Saccharomyces cerevisiae S288C: one gene and its partners. The protein of the gene in region 1 interacts with the protein of each later gene in a biochemical or structural test. Each region holds a gene or a part of one and is shown on either strand. Other genes may lie near its edges. The genes, in order: SRO7, SEC9, SEC4 and ATG1.

The links.
Region 2: the proteins of SRO7 (region 1) and SEC9 form a complex in vitro, tested with the Saccharomyces cerevisiae proteins (4 studies listed by BioGRID).
Region 3: the proteins of SRO7 (region 1) and SEC4 form a complex in vitro, tested with the Saccharomyces cerevisiae proteins (4 studies listed by BioGRID).
Region 4: of the proteins of SRO7 (region 1) and ATG1, one has a biochemical effect on the other in vitro, tested with the Saccharomyces cerevisiae proteins (one study listed by BioGRID).

What each region holds. Positions count from the first base shown.
Region 1 is NC_001148.4:631,162-638,402, forward strand, and holds SRO7 (Rab GTPase-binding protein SRO7), read left to right. Parts: upstream 1-2,961; coding exon 2,962-6,063; downstream 6,064-7,241. Other genes in the region: CSR2 (Csr2p), read left to right, coding at 1-84; NTO1 (Nto1p), read left to right, coding at 354-2,600; HTS1 (histidine--tRNA ligase), read right to left, coding at 6,218-7,241. UniProt on the Saccharomyces cerevisiae protein: Acts as an allosteric regulator of polarized exocytosis by promoting the targeted fusion of vesicles with the plasma membrane.
Region 2 is NC_001139.9:506,619-512,691, reverse strand, and holds SEC9 (Sec9p), read left to right. Parts: upstream 1-1,689; coding exon 1,690-3,645; downstream 3,646-6,073. Other genes in the region: nicotinamide-nucleotide adenylyltransferase NMA2, read right to left, coding at 1-1,147; STF2 (ATPase-stabilizing factor family protein), read left to right, coding at 4,328-4,582; ECT1 (ethanolamine-phosphate cytidylyltransferase), read right to left, coding at 4,752-5,723; mRNA splicing protein PRP18, read right to left, coding at 5,867-6,073. UniProt on the Saccharomyces cerevisiae protein: Component of a SNARE complex that may be the effector of SEC4 function in exocytosis.
Region 3 is NC_001138.5:127,925-132,866, forward strand, and holds SEC4 (Rab family GTPase SEC4), read left to right. Parts: upstream 1-2,409; coding exon 2,410-3,057; downstream 3,058-4,942. Other genes in the region: proteasome activator BLM10, read left to right, coding at 1-1,986; VTC2 (vacuolar transporter chaperone), read left to right, coding at 3,886-4,942. UniProt on the Saccharomyces cerevisiae protein: Involved in exocytosis. Maybe by regulating the binding and fusion of secretory vesicles with the cell surface. The GTP-bound form of SEC4 may interact with an effector, thereby stimulating its activity and leading to exocytotic fusion.
Region 4 is NC_001139.9:157,728-164,449, reverse strand, and holds ATG1 (serine/threonine protein kinase ATG1), read right to left. Parts: upstream 4,386-6,722; coding exon 1,692-4,385; downstream 1-1,691. Other genes in the region: serine/threonine protein kinase TOS3, read left to right, coding at 1-1,041; GTS1 (Gts1p), read right to left, coding at 5,354-6,544. UniProt on the Saccharomyces cerevisiae protein: Serine/threonine protein kinase involved in the cytoplasm to vacuole transport (Cvt) and found to be essential in autophagy, where it is required for the formation of autophagosomes.

The DNA of each region.
Region 1 (7,241 bases):
AATAATGATAATGATACAGAGGGGCCTGGTCCAATAATTCATCCGGGTCCTGAACCACCAAGATATGACGAGATTTCATCATAAATATTAATATCTTCACTTTTTTTATAAACCTCACACACACATATATATATACATTTGTACAAATATGTACCTGTCCGAACTAACTTTTTTTTTCGTGTAATATACGTAGAATATATGTCTTTCGGCTCATCGCAAATTGTAGCACCGAAAAAAATGGAAGACGATAATAATAAACAAGTTTGAAAGTTTGAAAGCCGTGCAGTTTTTCAACGTATTAGGTTTTTTTATTCAAATAACTTTGACAAGGGCGTTGTACGACTTAGCACCTAATGAATAGGGGATCATTAGATGATGGGCCTAAACTACGTGAAGAAAAGCACTTCCAAGATTTTTATCCTGATCTTAATGCCGATACTTTACTGCCGTTCATCGTTCCCTTAGTGGAAACAAAGGATAACAGCACCGATACTGACTCAGATGATATTTCAAATCGGAATAACAGAGAGATCGGGAGTGTCAAAAGCGTACAAACTAAAGAATTGATTTTCAAGGGGAGAGTCACCACTGAACCACTAGTACTGAAGAAGAACGAAGTGGAATTTCAAAAATGTAAAATAACTACGAATGAGTTAAAAGGTAAGAAAAATCCATACTGCGTTAGATTTAATGAGAGCTTTATATCCAGGTACTATCATATAAACAAAGTAAGAAATAGGAAGAGTTATAAACAACAACAAAAAGAATTCGATGGTGTGGAGGCACCCTACTTCACCAAATTCTCTAGTAAAGAAGCCCCGAATATTACTATTTCGACGAGTACAAAGAGTGCAATTCAGAAATTCGCTAGTATTTCACCCAATCTTGTTAATTTCAAGCCTCAGTATGACATGGATGAACAGGATGAATTATATTTGCACTACCTTAATAAGAGGTATTTTAAAGATCAAATGTCTCACGAAATATTTGAAATTTTAATGACTACACTAGAAACTGAATGGTTCCATATTGAAAAACATATACCCTCAACGAATAGTCTGATTGCTAGGCATAATATTCTAAGGGACTGTAAGAATTATGAGCTATATGGTTCTGATGATGGAACAGGTTTATCGATGGACCAGGCGTGTGCAGTTTGTTTAGGCACAGACAGTGACAATCTGAATACAATTGTCTTTTGTGATGGATGCGATATTGCTGTGCATCAAGAATGTTACGGTATAATTTTTATCCCGGAAGGAAAATGGTTATGTAGACGATGTATGATCTCAAAAAATAACTTTGCCACTTGTCTAATGTGTCCAAGTCATACAGGTGCATTCAAACAAACAGACACCGGTTCTTGGGTACATAACATTTGTGCTCTATGGCTTCCAGAGCTATACTTTTCAAACTTACATTATATGGAACCTATAGAAGGCGTTCAAAATGTTAGCGTATCACGATGGAAACTTAACTGCTACATCTGTAAAAAGAAGATGGGTGCTTGCATTCAGTGCTTTCAAAGAAACTGTTTTACAGCATATCATGTCACGTGTGCCCGTCGAGCTGGTCTCTACATGAGTAAAGGGAAATGCACTATTCAAGAATTGGCCTCTAATCAATTCTCCCAAAAGTATTCAGTCGAAAGTTTCTGCCACAAGCATGCACCTAGAGGATGGCAAACGAGTATAGAAGGTATTAATAAAGCTAGAAAATACTTCTCTCTACTCTCTACATTACAAACCGAAACTCCTCAGCATAATGAAGCTAATGATAGGACAAATTCAAAATTCAACAAAACAATTTGGAAAACACCTAATCAAACGCCGGTAGCACCACATGTTTTTGCTGAAATATTGCAAAAGGTCGTTGATTTTTTTGGCTTAGCTAACCCACCAGCAGGCGCATTTGATATTTGCAAATATTGGTCAATGAAAAGGGAGCTTACAGGAGGTACCCCATTAACTGCCTGTTTTGAAAATAATTCATTGGGGTCCTTAACCGAGGAACAAGTGCAAACAAGAATAGATTTTGCCAATGATCAGCTCGAAGACTTGTACCGGCTCAAAGAGCTGACTACTTTGGTGAAAAAGAGAACACAAGCTTCAAACAGCTTGTCCAGATCCCGAAAGAAGGTTTTTGATATAGTTAAATCGCCCCAAAAATATCTTTTAAAAATCAATGTACTGGATATCTTTATAAAATCTGAACAATTCAAGGCTCTTGAAAGATTGGTTACTGAACCTAAATTATTGGTTATTTTAGAAAAGTGTAAACATTGTGATTTTGATACTGTCCAAATTTTTAAGGAGGAAATTATGCATTTTTTTGAGGTTTTGGAAACTCTACCCGGTGCATCAAGAATACTCCAAACTGTCTCATCAAAGGCAAAAGAGCAAGTAACAAATTTAATTGGGCTCATAGAACATGTAGATATTAAGAAGTTGCTATCCAGAGATTTTATAATAAATGATGACAAGATAGAAGAAAGACCATGGAGTGGCCCGGTGATTATGGAAGAAGAAGGTTTAAGCGATGCAGAAGAACTGAGTGCAGGGGAACACCGTATGCTGAAGCTAATCCTTAACAGCGGATAAAATAAAGGTTTTAATATTGCATTATGTATAATGAGTATGTATTTTTATGCTATTCTTGTAAAAGTTTGGCTTATTATTTACTTTCATGGAACACTTAGTAAAAATAACTTAGAAAGGTCGTCTTTTCTTTATTCTTTAGCATTTCAATACCGAACTAAATATCCGTTTTTATAGTTTAGTTGGTTTTGTTTAATTTCTAGAATCCTGTTCGGCGCTTTTGTTAAAAGTAAAAAATGAAAATTCAAACGAAATGAACCTAATCACGTTAGAATTTAAATCTTGGAATATGTTAAATATAAAACAAGAAGAGCAAGCAATACTATTTCTGACTAATTCTCTATACACATAAGAGCAAAACAAAATGTTCGGTAGCAAACGTCTGAAAAATGTTAAGGAAGCATTTAAGTCCCTAAAAGGCCAAAATTCAGAGACACCCATTGAGAACTCAAAGGCGTCTTTTAAATCCAAAAATTCAAAGACATCTACTATTTCCAAAGATGCGAAATCTTCCTCTTCTTTGAAGATTCCTATAAGTTCAAATAACAAAAATAAAATTTTTTCACTAGCAGAAACCAACAAATATGGGATGAGCAGTAAACCGATCGCAGCCGCTTTCGATTTCACCCAAAATTTATTGGCAATTGCTACAGTCACAGGGGAAGTCCATATTTATGGCCAGCAACAAGTGGAAGTGGTTATAAAACTGGAGGATAGATCTGCTATAAAAGAAATGAGATTTGTGAAAGGTATCTATTTGGTGGTCATTAACGCAAAAGATACTGTGTATGTTTTATCGTTATATTCTCAAAAAGTACTTACAACAGTGTTTGTTCCGGGGAAAATAACATCAATTGACACAGATGCATCCTTAGACTGGATGCTAATCGGCCTTCAAAATGGTTCAATGATAGTTTACGACATAGATAGGGATCAACTTTCCTCCTTCAAATTAGACAACCTACAAAAAAGCTCATTTTTTCCGGCTGCAAGACTATCACCTATAGTATCCATTCAGTGGAACCCTAGAGATATTGGAACTGTTTTAATATCATATGAGTATGTAACTCTAACATACTCATTGGTTGAGAACGAAATCAAACAATCCTTCATATACGAATTACCACCTTTTGCTCCAGGAGGCGACTTCTCAGAAAAAACCAATGAAAAGAGAACTCCCAAAGTTATTCAGTCCTTATATCACCCTAATTCACTGCACATTATCACTATTCATGAAGACAATTCCTTGGTTTTCTGGGATGCTAATTCAGGCCATATGATCATGGCAAGGACAGTGTTTGAGACAGAAATCAATGTTCCACAACCTGATTACATACGCGATTCTAGTACTAATGCTGCCAAAATTTCGAAAGTGTATTGGATGTGTGAAAACAATCCAGAATATACTTCACTACTCATCTCTCATAAGTCAATCAGCAGAGGAGATAATCAAAGTCTCACTATGATCGACCTCGGTTACACACCTAGATATTCAATAACCTCTTATGAAGGTATGAAGAACTACTATGCAAATCCGAAACAAATGAAGATATTTCCCTTACCAACCAATGTGCCAATAGTGAATATACTACCAATTCCAAGACAGTCCCCGTATTTTGCAGGATGTCATAATCCGGGGTTAATTTTGTTAATCCTAGGTAACGGTGAGATAGAAACAATGCTATATCCTTCTGGAATATTTACAGATAAAGCCTCTTTATTCCCTCAAAATCTTTCCTGGCTGAGACCATTAGCCACGACTTCAATGGCCGCTTCTGTACCAAACAAATTATGGCTTGGTGCGCTTTCTGCAGCTCAAAACAAGGATTATTTGTTGAAGGGAGGGGTTAGAACAAAAAGGCAAAAACTTCCCGCTGAGTACGGTACAGCATTCATTACCGGCCATTCTAATGGCTCAGTTAGGATATACGATGCTTCCCATGGGGATATACAAGATAATGCTAGCTTTGAAGTGAATCTATCAAGAACGTTGAACAAGGCCAAAGAACTAGCAGTTGATAAGATATCTTTTGCCGCAGAGACTCTCGAGTTGGCGGTGTCAATTGAAACAGGAGACGTTGTTTTATTCAAATATGAAGTAAACCAGTTTTACAGTGTTGAGAACAGACCAGAAAGCGGTGACCTGGAGATGAATTTCAGGCGGTTTTCTTTGAATAATACGAATGGTGTTCTCGTCGATGTGAGAGACAGGGCACCTACCGGTGTTAGGCAGGGATTTATGCCATCAACTGCCGTGCATGCCAACAAAGGGAAAACATCTGCAATCAACAACAGTAATATTGGATTTGTTGGAATCGCATATGCTGCCGGAAGCCTTATGTTGATCGATAGAAGAGGTCCTGCAATCATTTACATGGAAAACATTAGAGAAATCTCGGGAGCTCAAAGCGCATGTGTTACCTGCATCGAATTCGTAATTATGGAGTATGGAGACGATGGTTACTCTAGTATATTGATGGTCTGTGGTACTGATATGGGCGAGGTAATCACATACAAAATTCTTCCTGCATCAGGTGGAAAGTTCGATGTGCAACTAATGGATATTACTAATGTTACCAGTAAGGGTCCGATACACAAAATTGATGCATTTTCAAAGGAAACAAAATCTAGCTGCTTGGCAACTATTCCAAAAATGCAGAATTTAAGTAAAGGCCTTTGCATTCCTGGTATTGTATTAATAACTGGATTCGATGATATCAGATTAATAACACTGGGCAAATCTAAAAGTACACATAAAGGTTTCAAATACCCGCTTGCCGCGACAGGTTTATCTTACATCTCAACCGTTGAGAAAAATAATGATAGGAAGAACCTAACCGTAATAATTACATTAGAAATCAATGGCCATCTAAGAGTTTTTACTATTCCAGATTTCAAAGAACAAATGTCTGAACATATTCCATTTCCAATTGCCGCAAAATACATTACAGAATCATCTGTTTTAAGAAATGGTGATATAGCGATTCGAGTGAGTGAATTTCAGGCGTCACTATTTTCTACTGTCAAGGAACAGGATACGCTAGCGCCAGTTTCTGACACACTGTACATCAATGGAATCAGGATTCCCTATAGGCCACAAGTAAATTCATTACAGTGGGCAAGAGGCACTGTATATTGTACTCCCGCTCAATTAAATGAATTATTGGGTGGCGTGAATAGACCTGCATCCAAATACAAAGAGAGCATCATTGCTGAGGGAAGTTTCTCGGAGCGTTCTTCAGACGATAATAATGCGAACCATCCGGAACACCAGTATACCAAGCCCACCCGTAAGGGCAGGAACAGTAGTTACGGGGTACTAAGAAATGTTTCTCGAGCTGTAGAAACTAGATGGGACGCCGTTGAAGATAGATTCAACGACTATGCTACCGCCATGGGAGAAACAATGAACGAGGCTGTTGAGCAGACTGGAAAAGATGTAATGAAAGGTGCCCTTGGTTTTTAAATACATACACTAATTCATACAGGGTAATGAGCAACTTCCTTCTATACTTATTTTTTTTTAGTTCTATATGCTTTATAAATTAATTTGAATCGATTTATTTTTCATTATACATGTCTAGTTTTACGAAGGTTTGTAAATACATGAGCTATCAAGTTTATAATCCTTTAATTAAACGAGTGACCTCATTTAGACCATCTTCATGAATTTGTGATAACTTTTCTTGAACAATAGGAACAATGTCAGCCGCACTAACCAATTCACCATCATCATCGGCAAATTCTTGGCCCAATCTTTTGACACGTAATTTACCTTCTAAGTACTCCTCCTTACCGAGGATTACGGCAATGTGACAACCCGCTTTTTCAGCAGCATCGAATTGCTTCCTAGGATTAGCCTTGGCCTTATAGACATATTCAGCTTCAATGCCAGCATCCCATAATTGCTTAGTAACCTTCATTCTTTCGGGTAAATAACCAGTCCAGTCCTTACCACCACCAAAAGCCATAACGAACACCTGTGTAGCCGTTGGCTTTATAGTTGTAGAGGAATTAATTCTTTGTTTGATCAAAGAAAATATTCTTTCAACACCAAATGAAATACCAACACATGGAATTTGAGTAGATTTTTTGCCGGAAGCTTCAGAGAACATGTTGACCAAATTATCATATCGACCACCGGCTGCAATAGAGCCGACACCAACGAATTCTGACGCGTCTTCTGCAGATTTGGCCTTCTTCTTCAATTCTGAAGCATTCTCTGGTGGAGCAGATGCAGAAGTAACAACTTCATAGATCAAACCTGTATAGTAATCCAAACCTCTTGCAAGAGAAAGATCAAAAGAGATGAATGAGTCAATGTCAAATGCTTCGGTATACTTCATCAAAGTAGCAATATCATCCAAACCTTGTTTAGCCTTTTCGTTTGAAGTAATGTTGGCATCTGCGGATAGAACAGCGTGAATTTCCTTCAAAGAACCATTTAATTTAACATACTCACCGATTTTATCAGCAGTTTCTTCGGATTGACCTTTTTCTTCGGTCATTTCCTTCTTGACTGCTTCCCATGGAGATTTGTCCAACTTATCGACAGCAGAAGAGATTTTCCTCACATCCTCATCTTTAACACCAGCGATTTGGAAGATCCCATCAAGAATCTTCCTGTGATTCAATTTGATTTTG
Region 2 (6,073 bases), on another chromosome or scaffold:
GATTAATGTATAGATTATACTCTTGGATGTAACGGATGACAGAGTTTGGAAGAAGATATTGAACTGACATTCCACGTCTGATGAAAAGCCGCACTTTCGTAGAGGAAATATCATTGTAAATAAGTTGTTTGATAATAAGGATATTTCTTCTGTGTTCATACATGATATCATGGGAAAGCAAGAAGGACCTAACATCAGAACCAGTCCTTTCCACGATCAAACATCCATAATTACCCAAAATATGGTGCAGGTCTGAATCAGCCCACACATGAGGCTCGCCCATGGATTCGATAAGATCACCGCCTGCCAATAACATGATTTTTACGCCCATTTTTTCACCATCTACAGTCATGATTCCACCTCTCTTGATATTTATTTCATGATTGAAATGGTCCAAGACTTTTGCTGTCCTTGTATAACTTGATTGTAAAGATTCCCAGGCATCAACCATTAACCAAGATGATGTCCGCTCGCATGCTAATTCGCACATGCGGACACGATGATAAGCTGGGGCTAACCCTCGCTTTTGATAGTTATCACTTACTGGAGAAAAATAACCACCAACCACTTCAAAACGCGTTTGCTCATTGATATCATCTAAAGCCATTTCAAACATTCTCAAATGTAGGTATGTTATGGGAGAAAATGATCCACAAGCAACGATGATCAGAGGCAGTTTTTCAGGATCTTGTAACTTTTTCGTCAATCTGTGTACAGGAAATTCGTAATCTTCAATAGTTCTGGCTTGTCTTACAATTGTGTGAGGAACTTCTTCCAAATCAGCAATTTGGCTCTTCAGTACCCCCAAATTCCCAGTCATCGTAACATCCTGTAGAGTAGCGTCAATTCCATTCGATTGCCCTTCACTTTCCTCCTCCGATGATACATCCCGAGATAGTGGCTGGAAGTCACTAGTATTTAATGGAATATGGTCCATTCGGTTGCTTGAGTTGGCGTTTTTTTTCCTTGACGACAGGGTTTTGTAAATGTCGAGATTGAAAGGAGCATCGATCGAAGAATTATAATCAGCTAAAACATATGGAACTATGGGTCCAGATTTTGGTATCGTATGTGTTGGATCTGGCGGTGGTTGTAGTTCTTCATTTGGCTGTGGCGGTTTAAAATCGGGTGCTTTGGTGGGATCCATTACGTAATAAGTGCACTTTTTCTTGCCTTCTCCACTTTAAACTCTCTCTCTCTCTCTACTTAACAGTGGAGGAACAGTGACTAAGGTAGAGTATGATTGTACTATAACTTACAGTCTACTGTCGTCACGCTGGGTCAATTTACATTGTTATTTTTCTTGGAGACGACACCGTCACATATGGACAGCGAGTATGGTAGATGGTATAAGCAAAAAATGGCCAGAAACAGGCGATTATTTGGTAAAACGTAAAGATTGATCAAGACGATAAGTTTGAGAGATTGTGAAGCTAAATAAAATCGTATTGCGAGTATTTTACATTCCATATACGAATAGTACGATATCCATGTGGGGTGCGACTCAGAGACTTTCTATTACCCGTCTTTCAAAAAGAAATGAGATACGTTGATCCTGCTTTTAACAATTTCGAATCGTTTGCGTAATTATATGACTTGCTCCGGTGTATAAATAAATAAAGTACATTCTTGGTACTCCTGAACCTAGCCTGGAGTAACTCGGAATAATACACCATTGACACCAAAAGAATGGGATTAAAGAAATTTTTTAAGATTAAGCCTCCAGAGGAAGCGACACCAGAACAGAACAAGGATACTTTGATGGAACTGGGTATTAGTGTCAAAAACCCTAGCAAGAAAAGAAAAGAGAAATTTGCCGCCTACGGTAAATTTGCAAATGATAAAGCTGAAGATAAGGTATACGCGCCACCAGGTTATGAGCAGTATGCTAGGCCACAGGATGAACTTGAGGATTTGAATGCTTCTCCCTTAGATGCCAATGCTAACGAGGCAACTGCTGGTTCTAATAGAGGTTCAAGTGGCACGCAAGATCTCGGAAATGGAGCAGAATCCAATTCTATGCAAGATCCGTACGCTATCGAAAATGATGATTACCGATATGATGACGATCCTTATGCAAGGTTTCAAGCTAATAAAAGTAATGGGAGAGGTAGCGTCAATGCTGCGCCTTATGGTGATTATGGAGGGGGGTACAATGGCACATCTCTGAATTCATATAATAACGATGGCCCGTATAGTAACCAAAATACTTCAAACAGCTGGGTGAATGCGAATGGCCGTAATAGTTTAAATCATTCAAACAGCACTTTAAACGTAGGGCCTTCGAGGCAAACAAGGCAACCGCCGGTTTCAACGTCGACCAACAGCTTATCGCTTGACCAAAGAAGTCCCTTAGCAAACCCGATGCAAGAAAAGAGAAATCCTTACGCTGATATGAATAGTTATGGCGGGGCGTATGACTCCAATACTAATAGATCTAGCGGTACTCGACAAGGAAGCTCCAAGAATGCAAATCCATACGCCTCTATGGCGAACGACTCATATAGTAATGGAAATTTGAACAGGTCTGCAAATCCATATTCTAGTAGAAGTGTGCGTCAACCGCAATCGCAACAAGCTCCAATGACTTATACGCCCTCTTTTATTGCTTCTGATGAAGCAGCACGCAATAGTGAAGTTGATTTAAATGAAGAACCTAGAACAGGTGAATTTGATTTTGAAGAAGTTTATGCTGACAAGTCTGCAGAAAATAGAGCGGCATTAGATGAGCCTGATTTGAATGCAGTAATGACGAATGAAGATTCAATAGATTTAAATGCGTCCGAAGTTGATCATAGTTCAAGACAGCAGCAGCAGCAACAGTGGTTCATGGATGAGCAGCAACAGCAACAGCAACACTTTAACGCAACAAATAACCAATATGGAGATCAAAGGGGTTACAAAACATTTGAAGAAATACAAAAAGAAGAGGAGGCTCGCCAGCAGCAGGAAGAAGATGAAGCAGTAGATGAAATCAAGCAGGAGATCAAATTTACGAAACAGAGTTCCGTAGCCTCTACTAGAAATACACTAAAAATGGCTCAAGACGCCGAAAGAGCAGGTATGAACACATTGGGTATGCTGGGTCATCAAAGTGAACAATTGAATAACGTAGAAGGAAACTTAGATTTAATGAAGGTGCAAAATAAAGTTGCAGATGAAAAAGTTGCAGAACTAAAAAAATTGAACCGTAGTATATTGGCTGTCCATGTTTCTAATCCGTTTAATTCCAAGAGAAGGAGAAGGGAGAGGGAAGAGCAGCTGAAGAATAGGAAAATTGAAGAAAAATTAATGAGAGAGCAAACAAGTCAACAATTGTCTCAGTCCACTCAAAGAATAGAGGGTGCTATGAACGCAAATAATAACATAAGTGAGGTGCGGGAAAGATATCAGAGGAAGAATGTTCTAGAAAAGGCAAAGAGATATCAGTTTGAGAATGATGAAGAAGATGACGAAATGGAATTGGAAATTGATAGGAATTTGGACCAGATTCAGCAGGTTAGCAACAGATTGAAGAAAATGGCCTTGACCACTGGTAAAGAATTAGACTCTCAGCAAAAACGTCTCAACAACATTGAGGAAAGCACTGATGATCTAGATATCAATCTCCATATGAATACCAACAGGTTGGCAGGTATCAGATAGAATATGCCTGTAAAAACTATGTAATATATCACAAGTAACAACATTTCATCACCATTACTACCATTATGTAGAAATTTATGAGCAAAGACAAATAAGTAAAGAAAAAGACATTGATATAATATAAGAGTATGCTTTCTTCATTTTAATGTTTGGTTGTGAATTGAAAGAATACCATTCGGGCACGCAATAGTTATGAACTTAACCGAGCTCAAATAATTTAAAGATAAAAGATAAAAGATAAAAGATAAAAGACAAAAGAAAATTCATAGCCCATGTTGAAGTATCCCAGCGGGAAATGTTGCTATCCAACAGAAAGTACCAAGCCAGTTTCAAAAAGGTACAGAATTAAGTGATGCTATCCGTCCCACAACTAATTTTCTCCAGCGGAGGAAATATACGCGGAGGGGGGGAGGAAAACCTCTCAGTAAGCAATGAAGGGATAGATAATGGGGGCGCGCCTGCCTAGCTTAGGCTAAGAAACTCCTTCGAAAACAGGGGGCTGCGAGCGCAGAAGCGAACACTTGTCATTTGTATAAAAGGACTATTTATAAGTTTGCTTTTTGTCACTCTCTTGGCCCTAATTACCCATACTATTGTAACAATTGTTGTGTAAACTCAATTATACAAATAAACGAACAATCAACAGTAACAAACCGCTCAAGTGTACAACCAATCAGAAAAAATGACGAGAACAAACAAGTGGACCGAACGTGAAGGAAAGGCTGATCCAAAGTACTTTTCGCACACTGGTAACTACGGTGAATCTCCAAATCACATCAAGAAGCAAGGTTCCGGCAAGGGTAATTGGGGTAAGCCAGGCGATGAGATTGATGACTTAATTGATAATGGTGAAATACCCCCAGTGTTCAAGAAAGATAGAAGAGGCTCAAATTTGCAATCGCATGAACAAAAGTTTGAAAACGTCCAAAAGGAATGAGGGCGTTTTCAAGATAAAAAAAGGTTTTTTGATCTCTGAAGGATAGTGGCCTTCTCCACTGATTTATATGCATCTATAGGTATATACTTGCATGCCTACTTCATGACTTATGTAATACAGTTTTCTTACATCCATTTAATTTACGTTCGAAGAAGTTTTCAACATTTGTTTATATGGACATTCCCTTTTTTTGGTTCCTCGCAATGTAAACCTCCCTTTGCGATTCCACCCTCTTCACAATAAGCTCTTTAGTCAAGTATTCACTGAATTTTCCGGCAGCAGTGAGGACAGCCGTGCCAATATGATACTTCTCGCAGTTATACTGAGACATTGAGGTGGCGTCAGCATCGATAATAACGGCATCAACATATTTACAACTTAAAACGCTCAAGACGCGTTCCTTCATCGTCATAATGGTACTCGAGTAATCGCTTGTGGTAATACCAACAATCAATTTCTTATCGGGGTGAAGATCCATTTTCAGCTTTCTTAACTGATCAATATCCCCCATATGGAATAAGTCAAAATCCCCGTCAACATAAACACAATCTTCTGCATCGAATTTGTATCCACCATTGACCAAGACATTGTCCAAATCCCTCTGAAAGACATAACAATGTTTTGAAACGGCATCTTGGGCGACAGAATAGAAACTCAATTCCTGGGTGGTGGGATAATAATCAGGATGAGTCGGTGGCAAAGATTTTTTCGTCAATATTCTATGTATAATCTCGGTAGTACTTACGCCATATGTTCTTTTAACTACCTTGAAGCGCCCCATCTCTTTCACCAACTTATAGCAGTCTTCTCCATTAGCATCTATGGTGATATCATCACCATGAACAACATATTGGCACTGATATTTATCCATCCAATTGGGATCTGTAACATATGGCGCCGCTTCAACCACTTCCGAACACCACCTATTTGATCTAGTATGCTCATATCTTTCTGAAGAGTTCATTACTGGTGTTCCTTTGTTATGCTGAATATCTTCATCGGTATGCACACCACAGAATAGTTTACCATTTTCTTTTGAAACTGTTCGACGAGCCTGCAAAATGGCTCCCGCATGCCCATGATGTGTGAAATCAAAGCAGCCGTCTATCCAAACTTTATCCGGATCTAAGTTTACCGTCATCCAGTCAGTATATTTCAAGTCCCGATCCTGTAAAGCATTTGTCTCTGGAAAATTGAACAAAGGCTATCAACATCTGCATTCTTGCTTCTTATTTTGGCCGCATGATATCGTGCCACGCGATAACGAAAACAATAGTTCAACAATTAGGCTAAGCTATCGTGGTTGCTGGTATACCATTCTTCAAAAGTTATTAATCTTTTAATACTGGTAATCCATAATCGCGTTCTTTCATCAATCATTATGTTAGCAGCATTCCGGCCTCCTTGAATTTTCGAATGTGCACTACGAGCATGAATGCCTACGCTAGTAACACCAATAGGCCAGGCCACATTGCCGATACTGAGTTTCAT
Region 3 (4,942 bases), on another chromosome or scaffold:
GCAGTATTTTCAATAATCTCCCAAATCTCCACAAAACATCCCGAAATCATACATTTGGTTGTAAAGTCATTGTTGTCGACGTGCAACAAGATAATATCTCTCTCTGACTATGAATATGACATCACCAGGGCCTATAAGAATGAATTCAATCCATCATTTGTGGAAATACTGGACACTTCGACCACAAGCTTCCCTAAAACGTTTACTGAAGAAATGAATAACTTTGATAACCCCAAGTATTTTATCGATTTGAGGGCGTATGTAGGGTGGCTATGTTGGGGAAGGCTTATGTACGTCATGTCGCCGAAAGCTTTAAAGCTCAATTTACGTGAGAATGAACTGGAAGTCCTCAAGACAGCTGGTCATCTATTGACAAGAGAATTCCTGAGAGATGTTACAATGAATTTAGTCCAAGATAATGAAACTAGGGGTGTTTTTAGTAGTGGTAACGTGTCATTTTTCTCTTTAGTAATCCTTTTGATATCATCTGGTTTCTGCGAACTGAATATGTCGGATCTCTTTGAGCTATGTGAATCCTACTATAACAAAGACGATAAGGCTTCGATGATCATGTCTGTCGAGATAGTGGCTGGCTTAGTTTGCGGGAGTAAGTTTATGTCAGTCTCTGACTTGGACAAACGTGACACTTTTATCGAAAACTTCCTAGCCAAATGTTTAGATTATGAGTTGAACCATGACGCATTTGAAATTTGGAGCACCTTGGCATGGTGGTTGCCTGCAGTCGTTGATTTAAGAAGGTCTAAAACTTTTTTTTGCCATTTTATCAACGCCGATGGCATGTTTGACCGTGAATCTGATGCAGCCACACATCAAACCTCCAAAATTTACATGCTAAGAAGTATCTTGATGAGCATGGAATTTAGAGCCCCAGATGTTGGTAAGCTATTTGATGAGTTGGTATTTGATCACCCATACGATCAGGTTCGCCAGGCTGTCGCTAAACTATTGACGACCTTAGTTCAAAATCAAAGTAATCCGTCAATTTCAGATCCAACCACATTATTAGAAGCAGAACGGAATGATCCAGATGGATTAGGGTTACCATTAAAAAGCGTCCCAGAAAAGGTGGATGCCTATATTAAGAAGCAGTTTGAGATCATTAAAAATCTGGAAGATTCCGTTGTCGGCCTGAATCCTCAACAATTTATTAAGACAGACTATTTTTACAGGACATCCACAATATTTTATTGGATCAAAGAAATGGCGAGAGGGCCTAATAAAGTTTTGTTAGTTCCATATTTAGTCGATTATGTTTTACCATTTCTGATCGGATTAGTGAAACATAAAGATGTTTGTGCTCTTGCCAGTTTAGATCCTGTTCGATTGTATGCCGGCTTGGGCTATATGCCGATCAGAAAGAACCATGTTGCCGCCATTGTTGACTATGTTTGTTCGTCAAATGTAGCACTATCTTCAAACCAAACGAAACTACAGCTAGCTTTCATCCAACACTTTTTATCAGCGGAACTGCTTCAACTTACTGAGGAAGAAAAGAACAAAATTTTGGAATTTGTTGTCAGCAATTTGTATAACGAACAGTTTGTAGAGGTGAGAGTTCGTGCGGCATCCATTTTGTCTGATATCGTCCATAACTGGAAAGAGGAACAGCCGTTGTTGAGTTTAATCGAGAGATTTGCAAAGGGTCTCGACGTCAACAAATACACGTCGAAAGAAAGACAAAAGTTATCCAAAACGGATATCAAGATTCATGGTAACGTTTTGGGTTTGGGAGCTATTATATCAGCGTTCCCCTATGTTTTTCCCCTACCGCCATGGATACCCAAGCAACTAAGCAACTTATCCTCGTGGGCCAGGACTAGTGGTATGACTGGACAAGCTGCCAAAAATACTATTAGTGAGTTCAAGAAGGTGAGGGCCGACACTTGGAAGTTCGATAGAGCATCTTTCAATACGGAGGAACTGGAAGACCTGGAGGGTGTCCTATGGAGAAGTTACTATGCCTGATTCATATTAGTATAGGATATTAAGCACATATCTAGACATATATGTACATCTAAACAAATAGCTGGAGCTATCTGCTGATTAGTTTTACTCTAAAAGTAAGTTGTTAGTGTAACTATGATCACGGCTGCGTGCCGGGTAATAAATCAATTTTGAGGAAAACTGGAAGTTCACCACTGAGAATGATCAACGGCAGGGAAACGTTATACCAAACAAAGCATTCTACCTCTAGGGAAGCTGGAAACTTGAATTACCCACTATAGCTTGTCTTTTAGTGATCCATTATTCCAACCTATTGCAATTCCAAGAAAATAAACTAGGAACTTTTTTTTTTGGAAGAATAAGAAAAGGAGAAAAAGTAGACATACTGTATATACACGAGGGCGTATCGTTCACCAGAAAGAATATAAACATAACAAGATAAACATGTCAGGCTTGAGAACTGTTTCTGCTTCATCCGGTAATGGAAAGAGCTATGACTCTATTATGAAAATTTTATTGATTGGTGATTCTGGTGTTGGGAAATCATGTTTATTGGTTCGTTTTGTTGAAGACAAATTTAACCCGTCATTTATCACCACCATTGGTATTGATTTCAAAATAAAGACTGTCGATATCAACGGTAAGAAGGTAAAGCTGCAACTTTGGGATACCGCTGGTCAAGAACGTTTCCGGACAATCACCACAGCGTATTATCGTGGTGCTATGGGTATCATTCTTGTATATGATGTGACAGACGAGAGAACATTTACTAATATCAAGCAATGGTTTAAAACCGTTAATGAGCATGCGAACGATGAAGCACAGCTACTGTTGGTTGGTAACAAGAGCGATATGGAGACGAGAGTGGTAACAGCTGATCAAGGTGAAGCCTTGGCTAAGGAGCTGGGTATACCATTCATCGAGTCCAGTGCTAAGAACGATGACAATGTCAACGAGATTTTTTTCACCTTGGCGAAGTTAATCCAAGAAAAAATCGACAGTAACAAGCTTGTTGGCGTCGGTAACGGTAAAGAGGGCAATATTAGCATCAATAGTGGGAGCGGAAACAGTTCTAAATCAAATTGCTGTTGAAGAAAAGAAGATTTTTGCTTCTTTGAGAATTAATCGTGAACTGGAATTAGAGCTATAAATCGCTTGATTCTTTTTTCCCTTTTTCTCAATATTCGCAGGTTATTTTTCCTTTATATATATACATTGTTTGTATCTTTTTTTGATTACCATACTTACTATTTTTATATTAGTCATATTAGATGTCACTTTTATATTATCTAAACAATTCAAACTTCTCACACTAACTTTTTCAGCATACTTCTACTGTTGTTCTCTGCTCTGGAAGGTATTTTCATCAGGCGATTGGTAAAAAATCAAGAAAGAATCTAAAAAATAGTGCAACAGGAAAACGAGGTTCCCAGTTTCCCTGGGAATTCTTATCCAAGTATATATTTTACTTTTAAGATTCAGCACTTTTATTTCGTTCTAATGTTTTTACCGGTAGTAAAGTTTTGCTTCTTGAATCCACTATTCAACTACTTGCGCTTATGTAAGGTTCCTGTATGGTTGCATAATCACTCAATTCGAAAAAAAAACCCACGTGCTGCTTGGAAATGAATCCGCACTGCGGTATAGCACTTCCAGAAAGATACTGACTGCGAAATTCGCTTTATGGAGTGTTTAAGCAATTGGTATCTTACCCATTAAGAGTCATTTCTTTCTTCTTGCCAACTTTTTTCCATCCTATTATGACCTCAAAAAAGGCAGGCTCTCTTCGTCTTATCTTTTCTATCGGAAGCGAATTACTGGGAAAGAGGCATAGGTATAAACAGATAAAATAGACGAAAAGAGTTTAGAAAAAAAAGTAGAAAGAACGACTACACCTCAACATAACGACACTTTTTTGACATGCTGTTTGGAGTGAAGTTGGCTAATGAGGTTTATCCTCCTTGGAAGGGTTCTTATATTAATTATGAGGGCTTGAAAAAATTCCTGAAGGAAGATAGCGTGAAGGATGGAAGTAACGATAAGAAAGCACGCTGGGACGATTCAGATGAATCCAAGTTTGTGGAAGAGTTGGATAAGGAACTTGAAAAAGTCTATGGTTTTCAACTAAAAAAGTACAATAACTTGATGGAGAGATTGTCCCATCTGGAGAAACAAACAGATACGGAAGCAGCCATAAAGGCCTTGGACGCTGATGCATTCCAACGTGTATTGGAGGAACTGTTAAGCGAGTCTACCGAATTAGACAATTTTAAGAGATTGAACTTTACTGGGTTTGCTAAGATTGTTAAGAAACATGACAAGCTATATCCAAAGTATCCATCTGTTAAATCTTTGTTGGAAGTTAGATTAAAGGAATTGCCTTCCCATTCGGAAGAATATTCCCCATTGTTGTATCGTATTTCATTTTTGTACAACATTTTGAGAAGTAATTTTAACACTGCATCTGAACCCTTAGCCAGCGCTTCTAAGTTTTCTAGCATTGTCAGCAATGACATAGACATGAATTTCAGAAGCTTTAAATTTTGGGTTCATAATGACAACTTAATGGAGGTCAAAACAAGAATCTTGAGACATCTTCCCGTGTTGGTCTACGCCAATGTTCCCTCCGAAAACGATGACCTGGTCAATAGATTCGAATCAGATATATCAAATAATGATGAAATTGTGGGTAGTTCGAGCTCCACTAGTAGCGTAGAACATGGCTTGGGAGCGCGCTCCTTCGATCCATTAATCAACACGCTATATTTTGACAATGAGCATTTTGAATTATATAACGACAAGTTATTAAAGTTAAATTCAGCACCTACTTTAAGATTAAGGTGGACTGGCCAGTTATCTGATAAGCCGGATATTTTCTTGGAAAAGAAAACTCTTATTGAAGACGAAGCCACTGGGAAGTCTGAATTTGATCTAACTAAATTGCAATTGAAACAAAAATTCATTAACGGGTTTATTT
Region 4 (6,722 bases), on another chromosome or scaffold:
GCCACCGGAAGTACTAATATACAATCATCGCATGAACAACTTTTAAAATCTAGAGCCTTAGGGACCCCTGCTTTTTTTGCACCTGAGCTTTGCTCCACTGAAAAAGAGTATTCCTGCTCATCTGCCATCGATATCTGGTCATTGGGGGTCACTATATACTGCTTGTTGTTTGGAAAGTTGCCTTTCAACGCCAATTCAGGATTAGAACTTTTCGACAGTATTATCAATAAACCCTTAGAATTTCCATCTTATGAGGAAATGTTGAATGGTGCCACTTCGGGAATCACAATGGAAGAATACACTGATGCCAAAGATTTATTGAAGAAGCTGTTACAAAAAGATCCTGACAAACGGATAAAACTAGCAGACATCAAGGTACATCCGTTTATGTGCCATTATGGTAAAAGCGATGCAGCATCCGTATTGACCAATTTGGAGACGTTTCATGAGTTGAAAGTTTCACCGCCCTCTTCATGCAAAAGGGTAGAATTGGTCAGCCTACCAGTGAATTCATCATTCGCCTCTTTAGATAGCGTTTATATGGAAAATTTTGACCACAATAACCTTAGGACTGGTGCTGACAGAAATTCAACATATTCTCCATCAATATACGACGCAAATACCTTATCACCCTCAGCATATCACAACATCGGTTCTAGAGAGTCATCCTATTCGTCCTTTTCCTCTTTCACATCATCCACCGCTTTTGCATCTCAGATCAGTATTCAGGATGCCCCAGCAATCGGTGATCAACAATGCTTGATAGGTGAGAGTGGAAGTTCATTAAGAGTGAATTCTTGTGAGTTTCCACAATATACAACTATGTCTCCTGTAGGAGAATATCCCTTTGAGAGTACGGAAGCAAGTTTGAGCTCTACTCTTACGCCTGTCGGTAATGTACCTCAACGTATAAAAGCCCACCTGGTAGAAGGGAAATCTAACAGCAAGGATGACCTTAGAATAGAAGCAGACGCATCACTTGTATTTGAGGCTAGCGACGCCCAGCGCACGAGAAGAAGAATGTCTCTTTATAAGCTTTAGCATGATATATGTAAATTATTTTAATAGATGTAATATATGATTAGAAACTTGATAGAAGGATCTAAGTTAATTGTCATGTCGGATCCTAATACCAATTCTTTTAATATTGTGTTTGTTTTTGAACGTTTATTATGACTTGTAAAATACTGTTTGTAACAACAAATTATAAAATGAATTTTAATGAACTCAACAAGTAAAAATAATAAAGATATTAATGACTTGTTAAAGCCTCCTCAATCAAATCATACATACATACATTTATATATATATATAGAACAAAAGGTTAAAGAATCAAATTTTGAAGAAATAAAAATTAGATTAAAAGGATATGTATAGCCAAAGGCAAGTACTAAACGCAACAAAAAAAAACTTAAAAAGAAAAAAACACACCGAAACCGAAGGAATTCAATAATTTCCTTAATTAACATTTAAACATCAAAATAAAACCCATCCAGGTATAAAAGAGCTGGATTTCAAGAAAAAAATCACGTAGAAATAAAAACAAAACAAAACACAAAGGGAAAATAAAATTTGAATACTTTAATGACGAACTCGTAAAGCATTTCGAGAGTAGCATAACATAATCATGAAGATACTTGAAAATATAGCAGGTCATTTGTACTTAATAAGAAAACCATATTATGCATCACTTAATTTTGGTGGTTCATCTTCTGCCTCAATATTTTCAACCTGTTTGCAATACTATCAATATACTTTCTTATGATTATTCTGTCATTTTCATCCAACACACTATGATACTTCTCTTTATCTTCAACGTCGTTACTTTTTAGATGTATGTTAGTTTTAAAAGGGTAGTCACCATAGGCATTCGTAAAATCATCATCGTCCAGAGAAGTTTCTAACATCCAAAGTGAAGTTGCATAAGCTAATTCACAGTTGTACAAATTTTCTCCTTTTAATTCCATATGTGCGGCCATCTTAGATATTTCTAATGCACGATCATATAATAGCTTTTCTAAATATACTGGCTCTTCCGAACTACCTTTTTCTTCCAAAGTTTGATTTTCAGCTACCTCAGAAGCATGCTTGAATCTCAAGTCGTTAATTTTTAATCTCAGGAAATCAGCTTTTTCTAAACATTCATTAAATTTTTCCCTTAGCCACTGTACCAACACGTTAACTCTTAGAGAACATGATTTTTCTTGAGATTCATACCACCAGTTGGACGTTACCTGCATAGATTTTGATAAAATGGATAATGCCTTCATATATAAGACAATGGCCTCATTACATAGAAGGATCATTTCCGAACGTGGTAGTTTATTGAAAGTTGCACTCAACTGAGATGTGGCAGATAAAGTTCTACCCTTTCCAAAAGTTTTCGTGGATAAGCAATCTTCCTTGTACTTTTTCAACGTTTCATCCTCTTCTTCTGCATCGTCTGAGTCTTGTTCTTCTGCAATAGCATTACTATCCATACTGCGCCTGTTCTCAAAGTTAGCCATGCCTTTTAATGTTGTTGATAATGGAACAATTTGAGAAAATTTCACTTCTGCATAAGAGTAAACAACAAATGCCTTTGCGGCCAGAGATTCCAAAATACTAACGATATTAGTATTATCTAATTTCAGTGTCTCTGGATGCTGTAGGTGATCTATTCTTAATATTATATTCTCAGTAAGTTCATGAAAAAGTTGGGAATTCAACAAAGTTTGACTGTACGGTGGGGAAGATGTGATTTGTTGCTGTTGCTGCTGTTGATTTGCACCACCAAACAATCTCGTTGATGCAATACCGAGGGCTCTTGATAATGCATTAGATGGATTCAGCGAGGATATAGACAAGCGTCTATCCACCAAAGATGGTCGCCTAGACCCATCACTACCTCCACTGGAAGATGATGTGGCCCTCAGTAACCTCGGATTTTCTCCTTGATTTTGAAAATACTGTTGATTGTTTGGAGAGAATTGCTCATTCAATAAGACGTTCTGATTTTGAGTTGAAGTTGGGTGCTTAATAGGATTTGGATTGAATCCTGCTTGAGCAACCTCGTCTGCCAATGAATTAACTTCAACCGATTTCTTCTCTACCACCACATATTCTCTTTCAAAGCTTCTATCTGAAACTAGGCTATTATGGTATTTATTATTTGAAGCCTTTTTATCTACGGCTTGTGTATGGTCTGTTTTAACGGCTGGGGCAGTTAATATATTGCTGTTCTTGAGGGCATCACTGAGCTCCGCGGGATTATCTGCCATTGATTGATGACCTGCAAGATTACTGTTCGGACTCTTTGGCTGTTTAGATAAATACTCAGAAACGAACATATTACTTTCTACAATACCTTTTGATTTGGATTCTAACTCAGGTAAATCATCTTCCAATTCATAAGAAGACAAGTCTTCGTTGACTACCTTGTTAGCAAAAAACTCCTCAAATCCTATTCTTTGGGCTGGATCAAATGTCAATAAACTACATATCAACTCTTTTAACTCTGGTTCAATATTGCAATATGAAGGAAACGTTATGACATCGTTTGCTCTTTTAATTTTCTTGAATAACTCCAAATGATTGGAAGCTCTAAACGGTGGGGTGCCACAGCACATTTCGAATACCACTGTACCGACAGACCACAGATCTGCTTTAGCGTTATATTTTTGATAATTCAAAATTTCTGGTGCCATATATAATGGTGAGCCACAAAGAGTTTCTGCTAATGACGTGTTTGGCAAAAATCTTGCAAACCCGAAATCTGCTATCTTTAAAATGGGTAAGTTGTAGATCCCAACAAATCCAAGTTCATGGAAGCTTTTTGAATCATGATATCCAATTAGGGGTGTAGATAATAGTAAGTTTTGAGGCTTGATGTCTCTATGAACCAAGTTTTTAGACCTCAAAAATTTCAAAGCGGACGCTAACTGCTGTAAATAACTCAAGACAAACGCTCTATGCAGGCCGTTATGGTTCTCACTCGGTGGAGGGTATTTTTCAAATACGGTCCTTAGTAGAGGATGATTCTCCATCAATTCTTTACGCCTTTTCAACAGAAATGTTAGGTCCCCAAGAGCACAGTACTCCATGATCAAATAAAAATCTGTTGATGTTCGTTCACAGTCAATAAGTCCGACGATATGAGGATGCTTGATTTTCTTCAAGATAGCGATTTCTATTTCCAAATTCTCTAGTAATTTCTTATTTTTTAATTTCGCCCTTGATACTTCCTTTATGGCTACATGCTGAGATTTGTCGGATGTCAGATGCCCTCTATATACAGTGGCAAACGAACCCTTTCCGATTTCTTTCTCAGCGGTGTAATTTCCTGCACTTGCCATTAGATTATGGTTCACAGAGGTTGTGTGATCTTTATTTTTAATGTCTCCCATTTTCTTAATTTCTCGTCTGGTGTTGTAAAAGAGATTTGAAAATATGGGGTAGCTTCAAATTCGTTTTGTGGAGATATCAATGATTATTCTCCTATCTCCTTTGCCTTATGTTTTTATTATATTATATGTTATTTTATTATGGGTACTATTACTACGATTGTATTATATCTTTTTATCTTCTATAGTACTGTTCTCTGTTTCCCCAGAAACTAAAAAGGGTAAAAGATGGCCTTGGTACTTAACTTAAAGGTGATGAAATGTGGCGTTCTAGAATTAACCTCGGCCTAAAAAATAAAAAGCTAAAAAAAAATAGTACGATCAGGAAGATATTAATAATATAAGCTCCTTTATGAGATGCTCGATTCCTTTTGTTGCCAACTAAATGACGCTTAGAATTCCATCGATTCCACGATCGATATAGTTACAAATCACAAACTGATGCTGATGGGGGAAATGGTTTAAGAAATCAGAGCCGAGCGGTTAAAAAGAAAAACAGATGCTTGAATACGAATGATATGCTTGCTTCTTTAACGGTATGGCTTTCCAGTAATAGTTACTCCGATAAGATTCATTACAGATACACGAAACGAACAAGGAAAAGATGATTAACGGGAAAAAAAGAGAGTTCCTTATCTCATTGATTTTAACTAGTGGGTTTTCCTTACATTACCGCCCAATCCCTTTTTTTTTTCTCGCTCTCACCGGCGGAGCGCGAGCGGAAAACGCCACCCAGGTGACTTTTGCGCTAAGTGTGGATCAAATACAGTGGTATTAGTCATTGATGTGCAGCGTAAAACGTCCGGAGCAGCTGTGTAATGCGGCTGTGTAGGGTGAATACAATAGAGAATATGACTAATTCTGGTATATAGTCGTTGTTTACAGATATCTTTCGTTACTTAGTGTCATTTAATTACTTAGTGTCACTCTATATGATATGTAATGCGGAGCAGCGGCAATGTATCTTATTTTTATTGTGTGTAGAAATAACCTTGTGGCAGGTTTCCTCCTTGCGACATTTGCTGAAAAGATAATGGCGCCTGTTGCTGTTGCTGCATCTGAAGCTGTTGCATCTGGATCTGCTGTGCTTGAGCCTGAGCCTGGGCCTGAGCCTGAGCCTGAGCCTGAACTTGAGCCTGTGCCTGTGCCTGTGCCTGAGCCTGAGCCTGTGCGACAGCAAGCTGTTGCTGTTGCTGTTGCTGCTGTTGCATAGCCATGGCGTATTGCTGCTGATCTACATATATCATTCCGGTAGCAGGATCGTAATACTGTTGAAGGGTACCATCGAAAACTGCTGGCTTTGCTTGTACAAAAGATGCTGAATTTGAAGTAAAATCTGGCGTGATTACATTTGTACCATCAAAAATAGCTGGCTGTGGGCCACTTGTTGTCGCACGTCTCCTGGGCAGGGGCGGAGTTGATGTTGTCGCTGCTGCCGATACACTATTTCTTGAACTTGAACTTTTTTCTAGATAATCGATTGCTCTATTGATATTTCCGTGAGCGGACGATAATGCATCTAAATTTTTGTTTGTATCACCGAAACCCATGTCCTTGAGTTCTGCCAGTTGCCTAGAATATCTGCTTCCACTGCTTTGGAATGAGTCCCTGGAACCGCCGTAGTCAGACCTATTATGGCCCCCTTTATAGAAAGAATGAGATCTGCTCCTGCTCCTACTTCTATTTCTTTCATCAAACCTGTCCGATTCCCCATCAAAATCATCCATTCTGGATCCAAAGTCTTCAGGCTTTATTTCATCATACCTGAATTTACCCAAAATATACTTGTCTCTAATGTAATGCTCCACGATGGCTTTGTCATCATCTCCATCAAAAGGAAAAGGGACATTTTTAGGATTCCAGAACCGAGCATTCCCCTTATTGCCTCCAAGACTCACTAATTCATCGATATCCTCTCTTGTCCATCTATCCATTGATAGTGATTTAACGTTAGAAAAGGCATCGTCGTCTCTGCTACCGAAAACTTTTCTATGAACAGAGGCACACCTACCACAAAGGAAAACCCCCAAATTAACTGAGCACCAAGTTGGGTAGAAATTACCACATTCACCGCATTTATTGGCATTCTCGGACGAATTAATCAACTCCTTTAATTCTCTGTCAACATGTTTTAAGCTATGGGAAGAACTCCTAAACCTCATTTTTGACTAAGTATAAATAAACTATAATCTGTGATTGACAGAACGCTGCCTCCATCTATATTAATGATTGATCAAGAGAAAATGTTCTTCTTCCACCCTTTTGTGAAGCATTTAGAGATCAACACTAACTTTCTTCAACTTACAATAATTTCCGGGTGCCCCCATTTATCGATTACCC